Kluyveromyces lactis: one gene and its partners. The main gene of each other region encodes a partner of the protein of the gene in region 2 in a complex. Links are inferred from orthologs where the notes say so. Each region holds a gene or a part of one and is shown on either strand. Other genes may lie near its edges. The genes, in order: ASM4, NUP120 and NUP57.

Region 1 (3,005 bases), on a different chromosome or scaffold from region 2:
GAACTGACCAACAGAGCAGAAAAAGTTAATCACAGAGTCCAAACTGCACGCAACAGTTTGGTGTTACTTCCATCAGAGATATTTGTAAGTGAGAAATGTCTGCAATTTTAGAACAGCGCAAGCTGATTTCTCAGCTTATGTCTTCGGCTGCCACATCGCATGGGCTAACTTCACCATCAACGTGCAAATCATTTATCATTGGTCATTGCCCCTATGACCTTTTCCAAGAGACCAAGCAGCCCATGGGGCATTGTCCACGTATACATTCAGTCTCGCATAAAATGCAATATGAAAGAGATGTAAAGAAGGGCAAGAAATATCCTGAGTTTGACCTTGAGCATTACTCCATCTTGAAGAAGATTCTTAGTGATTGTGATGTTCAAATTGAAATGGCACATAAAAAGTTACAGCATCATGAGGAACATTCGAAATTAGCAGCACTTCTACAAGCAGTGAATCAGCTTGAATCCAAATGTGCTTTAATGCTTTCAGAAATCGATATGCTTATACAAAACGAAGAAGTTATGAAGGCGATGATTCAAAGCTGTAAATATAACAAACTGCAAACAGAAAGGGACACACTCAGCGAAAAATGCAGGCAAATGAACGAAAACACAGGCCAAAGTGCACAACAGAAGCTACAGGTATGCCGTGTATGTGGAGCCTACCTTTCAAGATTAGACACGGATAGAAGACTCGCTGACCATTTCATGGGCAAACTCCATCTAGGATACGTAACTATGCGTAAAGAACTTGACATGGTAAAAAAGAGATTGCACGAACAAGGGACAGATCTTCACACATATCTCCCGCAAACAAGGAGACATCAAAAAGCAGTATATAGAGGTAAATCTTATCGATCGTGAATGTATAAATTTACACATACACTGAAGCTGTTCATAATGGCAAACATTACCCGGATTTGAGTATTCTAATTGAAATAAAACAATTTCAACTAATAAACATCAAGAATAAGATTAGATGAGAATAGCTGTTATCATCGTAGCATGTTCATATGCACCGGTAACACTGTGGTTTGGTGTGTTCTTCAATTTCAAGTAGGATAAATTGATCATTTTTGACTGTTGAAACATTGTTGAGAAAGCGAACTGACAATCCTAAATCATGAGTTCAGTATTTGGCCAACAAGCGCAACAAGAGAACAGGTTTGCAAACTTGCAAATAAATTATCCTCAGCAGCAGCAGCAAAACCAACAACAGCAGAATAGTTCACAATCACTAGTACAGAGCTCTGCCACGAATGGAAAGGAAGAAAACTGGTATAATATAGCTAGAAAGAGAAACATTCCACAATCCGTGATAAAAAGATCGTCTAAACCGAGCTCATCTGGAGATGGATCTTCGAATGACAACTCTTCCCAAAGATCCGGATTCAATAGCGTCCAGTTTGGCACAAAGAAGCCAACATTCAGCTCTACGCAGCCTGCACAACCTACTGATATCGCGACTTATGTGGAATCGAATGAAGCTCCCCCAACAAAATCGTTATATGATTGGCAACGAGAGGATGAGTTCGGGTCTGTCCCCACTAACGTGAACGCAATGCCTTCGTCTAACCAAATACCTTTGACTCAAGAATACACTAAGAGCACAAGAAACGCATTCGACAGAGATGCGTCGAAATCCCCTGTAAAACCGACAGCGGATCAAACAAATGATATATCAAGACAAAAATCGCAAGAGAGCGCAGTAATTGTATTTGGATATCCAGAATCCATTTCAAACCAAATAATATTACATTTCTCAAAATTCGGAAATATTTTAGAGGACCTTGAGGTTCTAAGAGGTGTTACAGGTAACAACATATCCAGTGCTACTATTAGAATTCGTGCTCAAAATAAGGACTCTAAAATTCCTCATAAGAAATATCCTATCTTCACGGGCGATGGATGGATTAAAATCACGTATGACTCCCCTAGTGCCGCTCTGAGAGCTCTACAAGAGAATGGTACCGTTTATGGAGGTTGTTTAATTGGCTGCGTTCCTTATAGCAAAACAGCCGTAGAACAATTGGCTTCGTGCAAAATCGATAAAACTGATGACATCGGAGAAATCCCGTTCAGTTTATCGATGAAACCAAACGGACCTGAATCATCTGATATACAAAATGGGACACAAGAAAGTGCTGATAATAATAAACATGGGTTCACCTTTTCTACTCGGAAATTGGATGTCAAAGATGGAAAGCAGTTGTTTGTGCATAATGCAAACCCTCCTCATGGTGGTCCAAACTTTTTAAGAAATTTGGAGAACAAGTTACGAGAACAGGAACAGCATGGGAATAACCAACAACCAACAAATTTAATTGGAAGGGTCAACAATTGGTTATTCGGGTGGAACGACCTATAGTCTCATTGTCTTTAGTAATTAGAGATGTATTATGTTTATATAATTTACGGATACCTCAAGAAATTCCAGTGCACCAAACTTCAATGAATGTGAGTATTTGAGTGAATAACTACCGAAATGGTGAAGACGATGAATTCCGAAAGGGAGACTTTGATATACGGTTATCATCATCATCACCATCATCGTAATGTAACGTACCAGAATTGATGTCGGGAGATCGATTGAAATAGCCTTGTCTGCCTCTTCTGAAACGATCATCCATTCTGAATCTGTCATCAGACACATCGGGTATGCTATCATTTGTTTCATCCGGATAGTTTAGTAACCTATTTGCAAAGTGTTGTTTAATAGGACTATGAGAGTTTCTTCTCTCACTTATATTATGATTTCTAGATGCATTGGCCAACATGGAATGATCGAAATGAGGTTGTTGAGATGGTATTAGAAGTGGCGTGGAGGGAGCGGAAGGTGTATTACCACTTTGAAGATGAGAATAGCGAGAAGGGCTCAAACGCGGACTATGCTGTCTGCTAGGATACGATTCTCGTACATAAGCACCATTTATTGACTTAGGGTGATGGTACGAGAACCTTACGTAGTTTTCCGTACGCTGTGAATTGGCATCCTCGAATGAA
Region 2 (3,763 bases):
TTATCTTCAATTAGCAAATTGAAGCTTCTCGGAAACAACATGCTATCTTTTGGCTCAGATGGTTTACTAAAGCACTGGCTCATTGAACCTAGTTTGAACTCTAATGAAAAGGCAACCAAGGCGTTTCACTGTGTGCCTAACCTCTTGGGTATTTTTTGGTTGAATAAAACAAGGTTTATGACTGTGGATGAAACTTCCGTCAAGTTGTGGAACGTAAGCCAGAGCGACCCTGTCATATCTTGGGATGGCCTCAAGGATTTAGAAGGCTTACAATCTGTAGATTTCAAAAATAAATGGCTAATTTTGACTTTCGTTAACGAGATACGGGTCTGGGAAATTAAAATCGATGACTCCAGTATCGTTAAGGTTAATGAATTCGTCATTTCAGTCCCCAATAAGATTCTCAATTGTTTGTTGGGATTAACGGAAAAATCGCTTATAATATTAAATGGTAGTTCAAAACAAAACGTAAAGATTTCTATCTTCGACTTTCAAGGCTCCCTTTTACAACAAATCGATCTTTCTCATTCGCTGACCCAATTCCATCACACAAATAATGAATTAGCATTGAACAGGTCGACATCAAAATTGCTTGTGAGATTCGATACAGAAACTCTGATTTACTCTTTCGATCAGAAGAAGACCATTTTAGTGTCTTCTACCGCAGAATCTGCTATTTCCTCGATTTTCCTCAATGATTTGGAGTACACTGTCACCGCTTTGAAGGATGGTTCAATACTCGTGAAGTCAATCAAAGAAGATGGTAAAGTAATTAGAAAATACAATCATTATGAACACCCTGAGAAGGTTCCCGCTGAAGTGCAACCAATTGCCATTGCATCCACAGTCATAGATGATACCCCTGTAATCGTTTCTGGTGGCTATAACGGTGTGATACGACTAGAAAAAATTATGAGCTTATGAACGCAATGCTATAGTAATCAAAGCTGCCGCTATAATTCAAAGAGAAATATAGGAAAATAATCTATAATGCTCATGTAAAACAGTACAAGACGAACGTCATCGTCTATAGACATGGTATCCCCAGAGTACCTATATAATCCTCCTCACAACATGGAAATTATTGCCCAAGCGACCTTAAAATTCAGTTATAAGTTACCCGGATAATATTGTTTTCATGGTTACAACAACAATGAGAAAAGACATGTTGAAATCAATCTGACATGAAGTGGAATCGGTAAACAGAAGAGAACAGCCACCAGAGAACTTCAATTACAGGCTAAATCGGAACATAAACCTACAACATTACTATTGAACAGCTGAGAGGTAAAGCTGAAACTGCGAAAAATGACCAGCTTTTCTCGTCTGAATACAAATTTACTACAATTAAAATCGAAGCACTCATCAGACAATGCCCAACATTTATACGTCAATGGGAATGTTGGATCATCTACAGAAGAAATAACTTCCGTAGAGTACAGCAAACTGTTGCAACTAAAATTAATTGATGAATCGTTGTCCTTCCAATGGTGTAATAATTACACTGTTTTGAGTATTTACTCCATGAAGGAAACTTTTGCAAGGAAAACCATATATATCCACTTTCCAAAACCTCTTCTGAACAAATGGTTTACTGCAGTCGTATACGAATCTAGTGAAACGACCTCCAACCTATGTTTTGATGTGATTTTAAAGGATGGAATTTTCATCAACCTTTCATTGCCTATCGATTTTATTCTATCGAGAACTCGTCAAAATGAGTATCCTGAGAATTGGTTGAAGGTTTTAAACCCGTATGATTTCTCAGTACGTCCTCCACAGTGTCTATTTCATGTTGATAACACCTTCAGTGTAGTATTTCTAAAAGATGGTGGTCTTTTGGGGTTAAAACGTATTCCGCTCGAAATATTAAACGATTTTGAATTGCAACCTGTCCTATTCAATGATAGTTCATACTTTCAAAGTTTTACAAGAATGTTTTCAAAGTACGATAACCACAACTCTGCAGTGGTATCTGCAGAACTTTTGAATGACAAGTATCTTGTCACATTAACGAATGATGCAACCATTAAAATCTGGGATTTAACCACATATCAACTAAATGCGCATTTCGATCTAAAAGAGAAAAACCAGCAGGTGAATTATGGAGCTGCCGGAAAATACATGATAATTTGTGGATCTCTCCTGTTTGTATACCTACCTGCAGGTAATGGATCGTTCCAAGTCATTCAATTAGAAAATACGCATTCTTCAAGAATCTCCTTCAAACCATTAAACGTTAATATACCTCTCAATCTTTCATCTTATTCAATATGGTCTTTAATTGACATTCAATTAGTAAAATCCTCAATTGTCAAACAATCGGGACTCAACTTGGTTTTATTATGGAAAAGTAACACAGTGACCAAGCTACAACTACTCTCCTTCGAAGACTCTCTGTATAGTAGCTACAAATGGATTGATGGTAACAGCACATACCTCTCTGATTTGCTTGATGACTCAGACCTAATAACAAACGGAAATATGGAAAAGGCTCTCCTCAATCTCAAGTCACACTACTCACAATCAACGTACGATGACGCACAAAAGATACTGAATAAAAATAATGTCATGGTGCAGATAAATGATCCTCATAATCAAGATTATTTGAATAATCTAGAAGCTCTTTTGAAAGAACTTCATAAACAATATCAGGAGCCTTCAACTCTAACTATTCTTGATGATGAGATAATTGTTGTTAACAGCTTACACATGTATCATCATTCCACGTATAAGTTAGACTCACAACTTGAAACAATTTTCTTTAACATTTTTGAGAGAAAGGAACCCTCGTCTCAACTAGAGCTTTTCTTAAATATCCTGCATGGTTTTTCAACAACCATTACATCTGAAACGTTAAATAAGATATCTGAGAAGTTCTTAGACATGGTAAATGGTTCAATAAATCCCTCGTTATCATTGAAAAATAAAATTACCATTGTCTTTCAAGATTGTCTAACAAATGGTTTCCAAAGTGCTAATTTATCAAAATTGTTGGAAAATCTAAATTCTATTGATGTGGTGGAGGTTTTATCCGAATTTATACACTGTGATTTGAAAGTAGGTGCTTTTTCAGTTATTGATTTATTAGATACTGACATTTTCTTATCTGTTTTGTCTATGGAATCCTTGAAGCAGACACTCTCCATTATGGATAAGTTTATCATTGATATATTGTTAGTATTCACTATTGTGGATATCAACTATGAAGTTTTTGCAGAGAAGTTGTCTAAGTTAATTACCTTGCACTTCAATATCTCATTGTGGCTCCAAGTGTATCAAATAGATAAATTATTGGCAATTTCTGAGACCTTCGGTCATGTTACTAAATACAATTATGGTGCACAATTGAAATCTTACAGCGATATAACCGACTTTACTACATTAATGGTTGGTTTTGTCAAGAATTCTCCAACAGCTGAACCTCCAATATTTACAAGAGCCTTTTCCGATTTCATATTGAACGGCGAAGATTTGACTTGTGCAAAGCAATTCCTACACTTTGTTGCTAAGCCTTACCATGTGTCCAAGGATCCAGTAGAAGAACTACTATATGCTCTTTCTTTGTTCAAATGCAATGAATATGATGCATCTATTGAAATATTCTTGGCAAATGACTTCTCTGATGAGCTCTCACTACCTAAATATCTGGAGGTTACTGAAAATCACGTTTGGTACAATCTCCTTCATGCGATCAATACAAAAGATAAACCAGCATACTATTATGAACTTTCAGTTCTATGTTCCAAAGCTTCATCGTATG
Region 3 (3,763 bases), on a different chromosome or scaffold from region 2:
TTTAATTGCCATTGGATGTTTCTGGGTATGTCTGAAGGAAACTATTCACTAATATACTGAGAACTGAGCTTTTTTCAGTGCATCTTATAGATTTCAAGCAAGTTGTGTCTCATCTTCTACTTGTTAAATCACCAAGACGCGTTTTTTCTGTTAAAAATACACGTTAGCTAAGAAGACAGAAATGAAACACAGAACTAGCACCATCAAGTATTAGTTGACACTGTTATAGTAGTGACAGTGCAGTGCATGCAATTGCCACAAGGTAAGGATGAGGTATTGGACCAAAAGTATCTAAACATTCTTGATTATAGATTTACTTATCTTAAGGAAAATTAGTCACGTGATGCGCAGTAATCATATCACCCTTATTCATCTGTATTGCACCATCAGTTTAGTAAGTGTGTTCCGAAAACTACCCATTCAAACACATGTATCGGTCTTTGCCCTTGTTATATACATGTATTTTTCTAACTATCAATTCTATTCAGCGTTCAAGATATTTAAAGGTACGAATCGATCCTTATATTCGAACGATCATTACCAGAAAAACGGAACAAGAGCGAAAAGAGAGGGAAAGTACTGTGTGAAACTACTCTCACCCAGCGATGACCGACCTAAATGATGATTTGGATCTACCAGTAACTAAAGAACTAAGCAGAGAGTTAGTTTCCAATTTTGTACGGAAGAATGGCTGCTTAGATATAGATAAGCTATTACTTGAGAATAACTTCCAATACGTATCGTTAGACGAACTCTCATATGAAGTATCTGCCTTGAAGCAATCAATGGAACAAACTATACTGGATGAAATCAATGACAATTATCCCGAGTACATGGAAATATGTGACAGGTTTAATACTAGTGACAATAACGAGGTGTTGAATAAGTTAAAACAAGTCTTGAATGATCTACAACAGTTCAACAAGCAATTACTCCAACTTTGTGATTCCTCAGTGGCTGAAACTAGAGAAAAAACAGTAACAGCATTATCCTACCTAAAATCGCTTGATAACCTATTTGGTAAACTGGACGATATCACAAAGCTATCAGAATCGCTAAAGATATGCCAGCAACTTGTATCATCCTTACAGTCTATGGTGCAGCTGAATATCGACGACGAGCTTTCCTTCACAGTGGCAAAGCAGCTCTCTACTATACTAATACGTTGTGACTACAGATTTAGACATTTGGAAGACAATGATTCCACCCTAATTACTCGAATGAGAAACGACTTTAAAAGTATTCTCGAGACCGCAAAGCCTTTAATTAAACCCGTTCTCGAGAAGCAGAACCAGCAAACTCAAACCATAAAAACTTAAATATATGATAAATGCGAACCCAATTCAAATAAAGTGAGATTCCACCCCCTAGGTGGAAGCGAGTCTACGCTATGAGTATCCTTACGTAAATGTGTATAACATCTCTGACTTTGAGCCTCATCTCATCATAATGAACGATCTTGAATTTTTCAGTTCTTCACAACAAAAGCATCAACAAACATCACAACTAACATTAAATCTATAAGAACGAACTGACAATATAGCAGGGCCAGCGTACTAACAGAACACTGTGAATATCGATAAGGTTCAATTTTCTGTCATCAATTAGCCATGTTTGGTGCAGTGAATTCGGGAAATAGTTCAATGAACAATGGCGGCGGTTTATTTGGTAACAAACCTGCTGCTGGAAACACAGGGTTCCAGTTTGGCGGTCAACAACAACAACAACAGCCACAGCAGCAGCCTGGTGGTGCTGGTAGCTTGTTCGGACAGAATAACAACTCGATAGGTAATACATCAAACACTGGAGGAGGTCTGTTCGGAAGTACACAGCAACAGCAGAAACCTTCTACTGGGGGTTTGTTTGGCAACACGAACTCTGCCGCGGGAGGAACAGGCGGGTTGTTCGGCCAATCCAATCAGCAGAATAATACCAATACTGGGTTGTTCGGCAATGCAAACTCTACAGGAATACAGCAGAATAATACTGCCCCAACCAGTGGAGGTTTGTTTGGGTCCAAACCGGCAGGTGGATTGTTTAATAACACACAGCAGTCCACCACTGGTATCCAAGGAAATCCCACTGGAGGTGGATTGTTTGGTAATAATAATGCGAACACAGGAAGTTCGGGTGGACTGTTTGGTAATTCCGGAAATACAAATACCAGCGCTACTTCTGGAGGTCTTTTCGGTGGAAACAGAACTGGGGGCCAATCCACAGGCGGACTTTTTGGCAATAACACTTCTAATAGCGGCACTACTGGAGGACTATTTGGATCCAAGCCTGTTGCGCCAGCTACTACATCTCTCTTTGGCCAAAATCAAACACAATCACAGCAGCAACAGCAACAACAGGGCCAGCAAGGTCAACAACCAGGGGGGGCATCCTTGTTTGGTTCAACGCCATCTACTACAATGCAACCGTCATTTGCATGGTCTAACACACAACAACAAGTACAGCCCCAGCAACAGTTGCCGTCGGTTCAGCAACCACAACAACAGCTACAAATTCAGCAACAACAGCAACAGCAACAAATATCTAATTATCCGCAACAAATCCAAGAACAAATTCTAAAGTGTAAGGAATCATGGGTGCCAAGTGAGCAAAGATCAAAACTTAAGACGTTTGTTTACAATAAATGTACGGAAACTGAAGCTATGTTGTATAATAAACCATTATCAATCTCGCAGGATGATTGGGATCAAGCGCTCATGAGTAAACCTGGTAATAATACTATTCCAATTAGACTACTAGGTTTTCAGGATCTCAATGATCGTAATCAATTACAAAAGCAGCATGTTGCACAGGCTAGAGTTCTTTTGGGCCAAATTTTGGAAAAGCTAAATCAAGTTAACACTAAGCATGATTTAGATACTCAGTCAAGGATAGCAAAAGCTGTTTCCCGTAACACCGTCATTGAAAATAGAATTCTCAAATTGGCTTCTCAGCTAGCCATATTGAAAAGCAAGAATTTACCATTGAGCCTACACGAAGAGGAGATGATGAACAAGTTTAATAAACTATTACAAGAGAGCAATGATCCAGCAGGTCTAGGGAAAAACAACGAACTTTGGGCAAGACTCTCTGTATTGAAAGAAAGAGCCAAAAATATAAGCGAGCAACTCGATAGCACTCTTGTTGTGATTAGCGAAAACGGCGGCAACTCGAACGGTAAGAAAAATAATCAAGACGAGGAACTAGAAGACCGGGTGAACAAGATAGCCGAAATTTTAAGTAATCAACAACGTGGTTTATGTTTCTTAAATGATGTTATAGAAAAGGATCAGAAACTTGTCGACGAAGTTCACACAAAGCTAAATAAGTGAACATCATCACCACATTTCTGATTCAAGAAATGTTATTAATCTCGAACAATTCAAATGCATGAAAAGAGAGCAGTTTCCTCAATAATTTTGTCTTGCTGACAAATGTTTATAAACTTGTGTACTTTATTCTAAGAGAAAGAACTTACTTACCGTGCATTATGTCAAGACATGACACTTTGATTTATAGGCCTGAAAATCCATGGAAAAGGGTTGATATCCTACTTTTTGTAGACTCCTTGAACTCTTTATCAGGTAATCTAAGCCAATGATTCATTTCGTTTGGTAGCTCCGTAAGATTTTGGAATAAACATGGGATAATTTGAATTGTAGGTTTATTCGATGGAAATTCAATAAACCTTTTACTATAGGAAAGTTCCCCCGTAAAATTGCCTTCAGGAGTTTTAAATCTCTCTGTATCCTCCAAAAATAACCACTTG

The links.
Region 1: NUP120 (region 2) and ASM4 share a complex: the UniProt entries of both Saccharomyces cerevisiae proteins name them as parts of the nuclear pore complex. The link is inferred for Kluyveromyces lactis from reciprocal best matches to the Saccharomyces cerevisiae genes NUP120 and ASM4.
Region 3: NUP120 (region 2) and NUP57 share a complex: the UniProt entries of both Saccharomyces cerevisiae proteins name them as parts of the nuclear pore complex. The link is inferred for Kluyveromyces lactis from reciprocal best matches to the Saccharomyces cerevisiae genes NUP120 and NUP57.

Annotation. Positions count from the first base shown.
Region 1 is NC_006042.1:687,647-690,651, reverse strand, and holds ASM4 (FG-nucleoporin ASM4), read left to right. Parts: upstream 1-1,125; coding exon 1,126-2,370; downstream 2,371-3,005. Other genes in the region: LUC7 (Luc7p), read left to right, coding at 96-866; NUR1 (Nur1p), read right to left, coding at 2,480-3,005. UniProt on the Saccharomyces cerevisiae protein: Functions as a component of the nuclear pore complex (NPC).
Region 2 is NC_006039.1:1,080,680-1,084,442, forward strand, and holds the start of NUP120 (Nup120p), read left to right. Parts: upstream 1-1,308; coding exon 1,309-3,763. Other genes in the region: FAR8 (Far8p), read left to right, coding at 1-924. UniProt on the Saccharomyces cerevisiae protein: Functions as a component of the nuclear pore complex (NPC).
Region 3 is NC_006038.1:975,647-979,409, forward strand, and holds NUP57 (FG-nucleoporin NUP57), read left to right. Parts: upstream 1-1,610; coding exon 1,611-3,326; downstream 3,327-3,763. Other genes in the region: chromatin-binding protein CTF4, read right to left, coding at 1-12; Golgi transport complex subunit COG2, read left to right, coding at 606-1,319; MSS18 (Mss18p), read right to left, coding at 3,508-3,763. UniProt on the Saccharomyces cerevisiae protein: Functions as a component of the nuclear pore complex (NPC).